2 linked regions of the Macaca mulatta genome follow. The protein of the gene in region 1 purifies or fractionates together with the protein of each later gene. This does not show direct contact. Links are inferred from orthologs where the notes say so. Each region holds a gene or a part of one and is shown in the gene's direction. Other genes may lie near its edges.

What was found. Proteins that work in one complex are often made in the same cells at the same time.
Region 2: the proteins of CHUK (region 1) and PIAS1 purify together in Homo sapiens (affinity purification with western blotting; 3 studies listed by BioGRID). This does not show direct contact. The link is inferred for Macaca mulatta from reciprocal best matches to the Homo sapiens genes CHUK and PIAS1.

Annotation. Positions count from the first base shown.
Region 1 is NC_133414.1:112,269,340-112,274,632, reverse strand, and holds part of CHUK (inhibitor of nuclear factor kappa-B kinase subunit alpha), read left to right. Parts: intron 1-995; coding exon 996-1,110; intron 1,111-1,794; coding exon 1,795-1,864; intron 1,865-3,621; coding exon 3,622-3,710; intron 3,711-4,953; coding exon 4,954-5,043; intron 5,044-5,180; coding exon 5,181-5,293.
Region 2 is NC_133412.1:45,694,534-45,699,826, forward strand, and holds part of PIAS1 (E3 SUMO-protein ligase PIAS1), read left to right. Parts: intron 1-3,258; coding exon 3,259-3,343; intron 3,344-3,591; coding exon 3,592-3,639; intron 3,640-5,293. UniProt on the Homo sapiens protein: Functions as an E3-type small ubiquitin-like modifier (SUMO) ligase, stabilizing the interaction between UBE2I and the substrate, and as a SUMO-tethering factor. Catalyzes sumoylation of various proteins, such as CEBPB, MRE11, MTA1, PTK2 and PML.

The DNA of each region.
Region 1 (5,293 bases):
AGCCTACATTCAAGGGGAGGAGAGTTAAATTTTTGAAAAGAGAAGTAGATATATTTTAAAACTTCCACAGGTAGTGTGCTAAGTGCTTTACGGATCATTCTTCCAGTTTATCACAGCAATCTTATATTTAGGTATTATTTTGTAAGTGAGGAAGTTGAAGCATATAGAGTCACATAGCTGGTGGTTGGTAAAGTGTGGATTTGAAATAAATACTTTCTGACTCTAATATATCTGTGCTTAATTTCATTTTGCTTCTCAAACTTGGTTATGTGGCAGAATCACCAGGAAAGCTTAACAATATAAATTATCAGGCCCTGCATGTACATGGAAATTCTGTTTGTTTCTTTTTCTTTTTTTTTTCTTAAAGAGATGTGGTCTTGCTGTGTTACCCAGGCTTGACTTGAACTCCTGGGCTCAAGTAGTCCTCCCATCTCAGCCTCTGGAGTAGCTGGGACTATAGGCATGTGCCACCACACCTGGCTAATTTTTAATTTTTTGTAGAGATGAGGTCTCAGTGTTACCCATGCTGATCTCAAACTCCTGGCCTCAAGCAATCCTCCCACCTCAGCCTCCCGAATTGTTGGGATTACAGTTGCAACTGCATCCAGCCTAAAACGCCAGATTTGAATCCTTACTTGACTACCTACTGACTGTGTTACTTAGCCAATTTGTGCTTCAATTTTCTCCTGTGTGGTGAAAGTATTAATAAATCTACCTATATTAGGATTATTGTGACAAGTAATTGAGTTAATATATTTAAAATGCTTACTGCTTGGCACTTAGAAATGTAATAGTAGTAATAGTGATGGTATTTTTATGTATGTTTTCTTTTAAAAAATTCTAATTTTTAATTATACAAATCAGAAATTAGAGTATTATAAATAATACCGATCTTTCCCCCTCTGTTCATCCACCTGCAATTAAGTAGCATTTCAAATCCAGTCCCTTTTTATTGGAAATAAATTTTTTATTGTAATGTTTTTCTTTCTTATTAGGTTGAACCATGCCAACGTTGTAAAGGCCTGTGATGTTCCTGAAGAATTGAATATTTTGATTCATGATGTGCCTCTTCTAGCAATGGAATACTGTTCTGGAGGAGATCTCCGAAAGGTAGTGTGGATGTTTTGAGATGAGAGATAGTAAATCACAAACTTTAGCATTATTTGAATCATATTAAATATAATAAACTAGAATAAGAATCGGAAAAACTATGGTCTGCTTCCTGTTTTGTAAATAGTTTTATTGGAACACAGCCACATTCATTTCTTTACACATTGTCTGTGGCTGCTTTCTTATGACTGCAGAATTGAGTAGTTTAACAGAGGCTATGTGACTTGCAAAACCTAAAGTATTTACCATATGGTTCCTTACAGAAAATGTTTGTTGACTCCTGATTTAGAAAATGCATTTTTGTTGTTGCTGTTTGATGGGACTATAGCAGTGGTATTAGATGAAATTTTCAGTGGTTAAGGTGCTTGTAAAAAGTTGTTTTCTGTATTGCAATCTTTCTTTTTTACCTAATTTTAAATGTGCCCATATGACCATTTATATATATATCCCTGAGATTTGTCAGCCTTTTCCAGTTTCAAGTGCTTTTTGCTTCTTTTTACTTTTATGAGCCTTATCATGAAATTTACATGCCGTCAGTATGGATTTGGTAATTGTATTCCCTTGTATTTTATTATGACTTACTTTCTCATTGAATATTCTCTTAGAGTATAGTAATTAATGTGTGGTCACTATTACAGCCCAGCAATTTCCAGAACACATTTTTAGATTTCTTTCTTTTTTTAGCTGCTCAACAAACCAGAAAATTGTTGTGGACTTAAAGAAAGCCAGATACTTTCTTTACTAAGTGATATAGGTATGTAATCAGTATTAAAATACCATTGTGATGTAATGCCCCTTTGGTCCATAAAAGATTCTGTACCTTTTTGGGAATTCAGGAGAATTGTTGATACACTGTACAAAGTCTATAGAATTTCAGCATCTATAAGAAGTTATCATATAAATCTATTACTGTTGATGCTAAATTAAAACCAGGATATTTTTATATCCTAGGGTGCGGTGGCTCACGCCTGTAATCCCAGCACTTTGGGAGGCTGAGGTGGGCGGATCACGAGGTCAGGAGTCCAAGACCAGCCTGGCCAACATAGTGAAACTCCATCTCTACTAAAAATACAAAATGCCTGTAATCCCAGCACTTTGGGAGGCCAAGGCGGGCAGATCACAAGGTCAGGAGATCGACACCATCCTGGCTAACACAGTGAAACCCCGTCTCTACTAAAAAATCCAAAAAATTAGCTGGGTGTGTTGCGGGCGCCTGTAGTCCCAGCTATTTGGGAGGCTGAGGCAGGAGAATGGCGTGAACCCAGGAGGCAGAGCTTGCAATGAGCCGAGATCACGCCACTGCACTCCAGCCTAGGCGACAGAGCGAGACTCCGTCTCAAAAAAATAAAAAGAAAAATAGAAAAATTAGCTGGGCATGATGCCACATGCCTGTAGTCGCAGCTACTCGGGAGGCTGAGGCAGGAGAATTGCTTGAACCCAGGAGGTGGAGGTTGCAGTGAGCCGAGATTGGGCCACTGCACTCCGGCTTGGGCAACAGAGTGAGACTTTTGTCACACACACACACACACACACACACACACACACACACACACACAAACTAGGATATTTTATTTATTTTTGGCTAGGAGTCCTTTTTTAATCTAATAGGTGTTCCAATAGCTGACAAAAAAATCATGCAAAATGACCTTACTCAATTTCACTCCTCCCACACCATTGACATAGTAATTTTTTTTACAGTGGAATTGCATCTCCTTGAGAGATGGGTCCTCAAATCAACTCTTTTTTGTTTGTTTTGAGACGGAGTCTAGCCCTGTCACCCAGGCTAGAGTGCAGTGGTACGATCTCAGCTCACTGCAAGCTCTGCCTCCCAGGTTCAAGTGATTCTCCTGCCTCAGCCTCCTGAGTAGCTGGGATTACAGGCGCCCGCCACCATGCCTGGCTAATTTTTGTATTTTTAACAGAGACTGGGTTTCACTGTGTTGGCCTGGCTAGTCTCAAACTCCTGACCTCATGATCCGCCCGCCTCGGCCTCCCAAAGTGCTGGGATTGCAAGCGTGAGCCACCGCGCCCGGCCAAGTCAACTCTTGGGGTGAAAAATCTCTGCTTAATCAGAATGACTCCAGAAAAATTCCTAAAATAACCAGTACCTAACCTTTTGGAGGAACCTCAAAAACCAAAAATTTGTTTCCGCGTAGATTTTGGTTTTGCCTCTTTTCCAAGGTCATGAGAGCTAAAGTCCAATTTAAATGGTTGATTTAGGTGGGAGAAGGGGGCTTATTAGAATTACAGGGATTTTCCCAATTGCTTGTTGCATTTCTATTTAATGTTAATTCTAATGAGTTAGATGAACATATAGTATAATTTTGTAGTATTTGCTTAATGTTACGTTTTTCTGTGAAGAAAACCTGAACTACTGTAATATTAGTTGTGTAGTTACGATGATCCATATAAACTTGAGCATCAGAGCAGATTTGTACAAAATGTGAGGTGAATTTTTCTTTTAACTCAATGCTTTCTGTTACTTCAAAGTGTATTTTAAACTTTATTTAGGGTCTGGGATTCGATATTTGCATGAAAACAAAATTATACATCGAGATCTAAAACCTGAAAACATAGTTCTTCAGGACGTTGGTGGAAAGGTAGGTGAAACCTGAAGTAATGTTTCATGCCTATTGAATATAGTCTGTCTGATATAGTTAGTCCTTGAGCTTTGGTGTCTTTGCTGTATGCCCGTAACACTCTTACTTTTTCCATTTCAGACCTTACCACACTGAACTGTAGTTTTGTGTTTAGTTTTTTGTCCCTTCTGCTAAACAGTGGTTCCATTAAAGAAGGAACTGCACCTGTCTTTTTTTTCTTTTTCTTTTTCTTTTTCTTTTTTTTCATACTTAACGCAGCTCCTAGACTTCACCTGTCTTGTTCATGTCTGTTTTTCCAGCATAGTATCTAGCAAAGATACTGGCAGTGAATACATAATATGTTAACACTTACTATTTTATTCTTATGAAGCACATCCAAAACACATACACACACATCCTGGGTTCACTTTAAGAAAAAAAGAAAGTATGTATATTTTTAAAACTTATTTTCCTTCCCCCAATTTAGATGAGTTATCTGGAGAAGAACCAGAAATTGTGAATTGACTCTTAAAATGTTCATTTAATTAGTAACTTTTAAGCAGTTTTCTTGTTTCCAGCGTCCAAATTTCATTCCAGTAAAGACTTAAAAGCCAAGAGTCTGCGCCTTGGGTTGAGTTGTGTGTGCTGTCTTTTCAGGTAGTGAAGATAGTTGTTGGTCTCGTGGGGGTGTTGGAACCTTCGTGATGCTTCTTCTCTTAGGAGCCTTTCGTGTATGCTTGGCACCAAATATCTCTGCTTTTTTTTTTTTTTTTTTTTTTTTATCCAAAGACTTCAGGACATTCTTGAAGTTAGATCTCAGTATTTACTCACATTTAATCCACTCTAAGGGGGTATGATGCTTCTTCAAGTTTGGAAGTCAGCCTTGCCTTTACTTTCCAGTTTAATGGATCGAGCTTATTTTGAATATAGCAAAATAAAAATTAATAGCCCACCTGTATTTAATTTTTATCGTGTACCAAGCACTGTATTACCTTCTTTACTTTCATTATTTCATTGGATCCTAATAACAATTCTGTGAGGTAGGGACTGTTAGTCGTCCAATTAGATTACTGAGAGAGGTTAAATAACTTGGTAGATCACACACCTAGTTAAGTGGTGGCACTCAGACTTGAAATATTTTTGTGATATTACAGAGCCTAAGCTCCTCACCACCACCCTCTCTATAGCCTTATAAGGATATTGTTGTCTTTCCTTTTTAAATTTCTCTACCATTTAATACTTAATCTGTCTTATTATTTTTCAGATAATACATAAAATAATTGATCTGGGATATGCCAAAGATGTTGATCAAGGAAGTCTGTGTACATCTTTTGTGGGAACACTGCAGTATCTGGTGAGGCCTGTATTGTTTCTTTGAATTTAAATGTGTGTAGGATTCTCTTATTTCTGAAGATCATGAATATAGTAGTTCAAAAATAAAGTAGTTTTTCCCATACAGTGTTGGTGTTTAAAACATTTTCTCTTTTGAAGGCCCCAGAGCTCTTTGAGAATAAGCCTTACACAGCCACTGTTGATTATTGGAGCTTTGGGACCATGGTATTTGAATGTATTGCTGGATATAGGCCTTTTTTGCATCATCTGCA
Region 2 (5,293 bases), on another chromosome or scaffold:
AGAAGAAAAGTGAGAAGAAAAAGAAATTATTGGTTGTTTTCAATATGTTACTTCATTTACATTCTTCAAAATAATCCTATCAGAGTGTGTATGTTTCCGTGTTTAAATATTGGAAGAAAAACTCAGAGTGAATGAATACCCAAGGTCACATGACACATAAGTGGCAAAACCGGTTTGGAATCCAGGTCTGTGTAATCTTGTCCCTTTCTACAATATTCTACTATTCTCTATTGGGCTGCAAGCATTTTTACAATTAAACTGTTCATCACCAGTCATCTTCTGCCTGACAAAGTAAAGGCCACATCTCCCACATGTCTAAAAGGGTTCAAACAGAGAATGAATGGAAAGGTTGAAAGGAAGGTTGAACTCTAGATCAACGATCTGCAAACTTACTTGATCATACTCTTAGCAAAGTACTGTACATACTATATATGTAGCTTATACATCAACTACTGTACTCATATGTTATAAAACATATAGGACATTCCCAGTACAAAGAAATGATAAACATTTGGGATGATGTATATGCTAATTCCCTTGATCTGATCACTATATACTGTATGTATCAAAACATCACTGCGAACCCCATTAATATGTATAATTGTTGTCAGTTAATTTTTTCAATTATAGGAAAAATAAGAGTTTAGAAAGATTAAGATTTTATATAACATTTTAGTTTTTTTATAAATTAGATTTTAGGTTTTATGTAAAATCTCATCTTTATAAAACTTCTGTTTTGCAGATAGATACTTTTTTATGTATCCCTATGGATTGTCTTTTTTACCCATGGAACTGTATACCCCCAACATTGAAGGTCATTGTTTTGGATGATTTCGTAAGAGTCCTTTCAGTATGAAGATTCTGTAATTTGTCCAGAATTTTTCTGAAAGGGCTAATGGTAGCTTACTTCACTTTCAGAAAGGTTTTTAGATAGTTTTTTCTAAAACCAGAACTATAAAGACTTCACTATCGTTTGTAACAGCAATTAAGCCCAAAAACTACAAAGTGTGAAAGGTGCTCTTCTAGATAAATAGTAGCAACCCCATGAGTGTTACAATGTATATATAAAAGGAGATGGAAGTAGGGGCTATTATTAAGTAAGAAACCTGATTTTTATTTGTGACATAAGAAATAGCCTCATTATTTTAGTTATATCTTCTCTTTCTAAACCTATATATATCCAAAACTTACTGTAGTCATATATTCTAAAATGCATCTGAAATTTTGCCTAGAGAGTAATATGAATTTTTGGACTTGAGAAATTATTTTAGCACTTTTTAAAAATAGAGCCAAAGATTTAAATTAGGCTAAGTCTACTGGACTAAAATCTTGATAGAGATATATTCTCTAAGAAGCGAAGAAGTTAGTTACTTGCATTACCTGACAGAGGAAAATGTTAGCTGTTTTTCTACATTCTGGGCCTTAGTTATTGGCATTGCCAGGTTGATGCTTCACAATTAAGACAACTTTTTCTGTTAGTGACTGCTCCTTGGTGATAGATTCTTTAAGAAAAAGTCATCCCAGAACACATAAAGCAGAAAGCAAATCTGGCCTTTGAAAGATACTGTTAATGTTGAGATGGAATTCTAGATCAACAGTGCTCTTTTCTATTTCTTTCTCAATGATACGTTTGGTATCGACTTTCTGACATGACATACTGCAATTTGGTTGGTAGTTGCAAAGGAAATGTTTCTTGCAAGTATGATCAAACTCAGTTTAAGCAAGAGATTGAAACAACCAACTTCAGCTGCTTATTCAGCACAGGACTTAAGTGCCCCGGAGGCTGGGAGTTTCTTAATAATAACTCCTAGTGATCATTTTGTTCTAGAAAATTACCCTGGAAAAGTAGTATAAATAGTTTAATCTGCTATTTCTTAAATTTTTGTATTCCTTTACTCATTCAACAAATAAGTAGTATTCAGTGCCTCCTTGTGCCAAGCACTGAGGACTCATTAGTGAGCAAAAAGGATATTAACCATGTTTTTAAAAAATGTATCTAACATGTACTAAAAGCCAAGGGATGTGGTGATGCATGCATGTAGTTCTACCTACTGAGAAGGTTGAGGCAGGAGGGTCACTTTGAGCCCAGGGGTTTGAGTTTGTGCTATGATGGTGCCACTGTACTCCAGCCTGGGCAACAGAGCAAGACCCTGTCTCTTAAAAAAACAAACAAACAAAAAGTCTAATGAAACTATTGTGGCTCATAACAGCATACTTCAGAAACCCCTGCTCTAGTCTGACTGTGCTTACCTACCTGCTTGCATGTGTTTGTCTTTCTTCCCACATCTCTTCCCCTCCCTCCCTTCCTTCCTTTCTTACTTAATTCTCTTCTTTTTTGTTTTGTTTTTTTTTTTTTTTTTTTGAGGCGGAGTCTCGTTCTGTCGCCCAGGCTGGAGTGCAGTGGCCGGATCTCTGCTCGCTGCAAGCTCCGCCTCCCGGGTTCACGCCATTCTCCTGCCTCAGCCTCCTGAGTAGCTGGGACTACAGGCACCCGCCACCGCGCCTGGCTAATTTTTTGTATTTTAGTAGAGACGGGGTTTCACCGTGTTAGCCAGGATAGTCTCGATCTCCTGACCTCGTGATCCGCCCGCCTCGGCCTCCCAAAGTGCAGGGATTACAGGCATGAGCCACTGCAACCGGCCTGCTTCTCTTCTTTTACATCTCTTTTCCTTCTTTGAGTTAGTGACAATAAGCAAATTTTGAACTCATCTAAGATTAGGAGAAAAACTGTACGTGATATTTATTGTATAAAACTTGCATGGTGGAGTTAAACAGGAGATGATAAAATTCTTAATTTACTTTATAAACCAAATGTTACCTCACCTGTGCAGCTCTCAAGGTGGGTATGTTTGTTTCTTCTTCCAGAAACCGTGTCTCTTTAAATGGGTTTATATCATTCTATTTTAAATAAAATTCGTATGTTTTTATACAAGTGTGCTCTTTAGATGCAAATGTTTATATGATTAGAAAGATTTTCATTAGTCTTTCTTTGATTATGTATTGTTTGAATTTGAATCCTGATATGTTATTCTGGAATTAGCCATTTTTGTTTCTATTTCTGTTATGTTACAATTAGTGTATTTCTTATTTTTCAGTGCTTTAATTGCCTTGTTATCTAAACTCTAGAATATATACCAGTTAATTAAAGACATGTGAGTGTGTGGTTTTTTTTTGTTTTTGTTTTTGTTTTTGTTTTTTGCTTTTGTCTTTACTGGCAAATTTAAAGGTAATTGAAAGTATAATTCTTGTCTTCTTTAGCATCAGACAACAGTCAGCGCTTTCGAGAAACCTGTTTTGCGTTTGCCTTGACACCACAACAAGTGCAGCAAATCAGTAGTTCCATGTAAGTTGTCAGCAAGTGTAACTTGCAGTTTGACCTTTGAATCCAGTAGACTAGAATAAATGATTTTAAAAAACAGTGATTGGTGAGTTAGTATTTGTGTGTTGCAAATATTAGTAATGCAAATATAGTGTGTTAATTAAGAACAGTTATGGTAATTTGAAAAACTTTACTAGAGTAACAATGTCTTTGAATGAACTTTCATGCAAATACTTTAAAAGTAATTGTAATTCCTATTCTGTCTCTTCTAGGGACATTTCTGGGACCAAATGTGACTTCACAGTACAGGTCCAGTTAAGGTATAGTGCTGACTATAGGATATATTCAAAGTTTAAAAGATAATATTCCTTATCAGGAAGGGGAGATGGAAAAAAATTTTTAAGGAATAAGAGGAAATCTACCTGATTTTTCAGTAAGTGTATTGAAAGAATTAGGTTTAGATATTTGGGTGAGGGAAAACATTCTCCTGTTACGAGATATTCTAATTTTCATCCAGTTTAGATTTTTTCTCCCACCTGCCCACCCCCCAATTTAGATTTTAATATAGGAAGTCATGTTCTATATATCTAGCCATATTTGCCCTCAGTTGGTTGAGAAGCTCCTGCTAATGATATCTTACAATATCATATCAAGTTTTATGAAAGCATGGGCGTTATCTCCATAAGAGGCAAAGTATTGTGCATGAGGAATTAGTACTTAAGTCTACAGTATCTCATGGACTAACAAACACCGAAATACTCTAATTTGTTTTGTTCTATATTTTTAATAATTTAAATGTGCTCTAATTTAGGATCCATTTGAGACATCTCTTGAAAATTTTCAAAGACTAATGGGAAATTTTCCAACATGGGTTCACAACCCCTTATTCAGTTTGTTTTCTTAGCCCATTCATTTATTTTAGAATATCTAAGAAATCTTTTGTATTATTTCTCTCCCTTATATATCTCCCTTTTATATACATATATATATATCTCCCTTATATAAACCGTGCTTATATAAACCATCATATTATGCTTTTATTATTCAATTTCCCACCCTAAATGTCCACAGTGTTGCAATAGGGATGGAAGAGAAAATGTAAAACAGTTGTTTTCCTCAGTAAGCTGTTTTCCCTATAATTGTTGGGAGGATAAATCAAACAGATAGCCTTGTCTCAATAATCAGATACTAAGTTGTACGTACAAATTGCAAATACACTAGGAGGCTAAAAAAGGAATTAATCTAAAACACCTGTTCGGCACTTTATGGAATCCTGTGAAAACCTCTAATCTAAACTTTGAAATAATAAGGTAAAAACAGTGAGAAAGCAGAGTTGAAGTCGAAAGTTGAGTTGAAGATTCTAAAAAGGATATGACTATGCTTAATAGCTTTTATACCATAAAACAGTATGACAGGACCTTACCGCAGTAGACTAGTGATAATCTAAGTTTCAGTTTTGGAAGGCACTGCCGAAGATGATTCTGTATAAAAGGTATATTTTGTTTCGGCCAGATTGTGATAATGACTGAATAAATTAAAGGACAAAAATAAGATGTCTCCATAGTTAATTATGTATTGCTGTAGTCTACTTCCTGCCTCAACAGTTGACATTTTGCTTGTACTGATACTTGACATTATCCTTTAAATCAGTGGTTTTCAAACTTGTTGCATGGAGCCACCCTTAGGGCCTCATACTCTTCTGCCATCCTCCCCTTCTCCCTCCTCTTCTCTCCTAAACACATACACAGTCTGAACCAAAGTGGGGCTTCTTTTATCTCTTTTATCTGTTTTGCATGTTTGACTCTGGGTTAGTTTTCACTTGAAGACAGAGTCCCAAGACTAAAACAGAGTTTAAAAACCATAGCTTTAGAATAAAAGATCTAGTTACTAAGTATTTTGTATTAATATACATACATTCTTTAAAGCAGCAACAGGTGTGGTCCACATTTTGAAGTAAGGTTGTCTAGATAGATC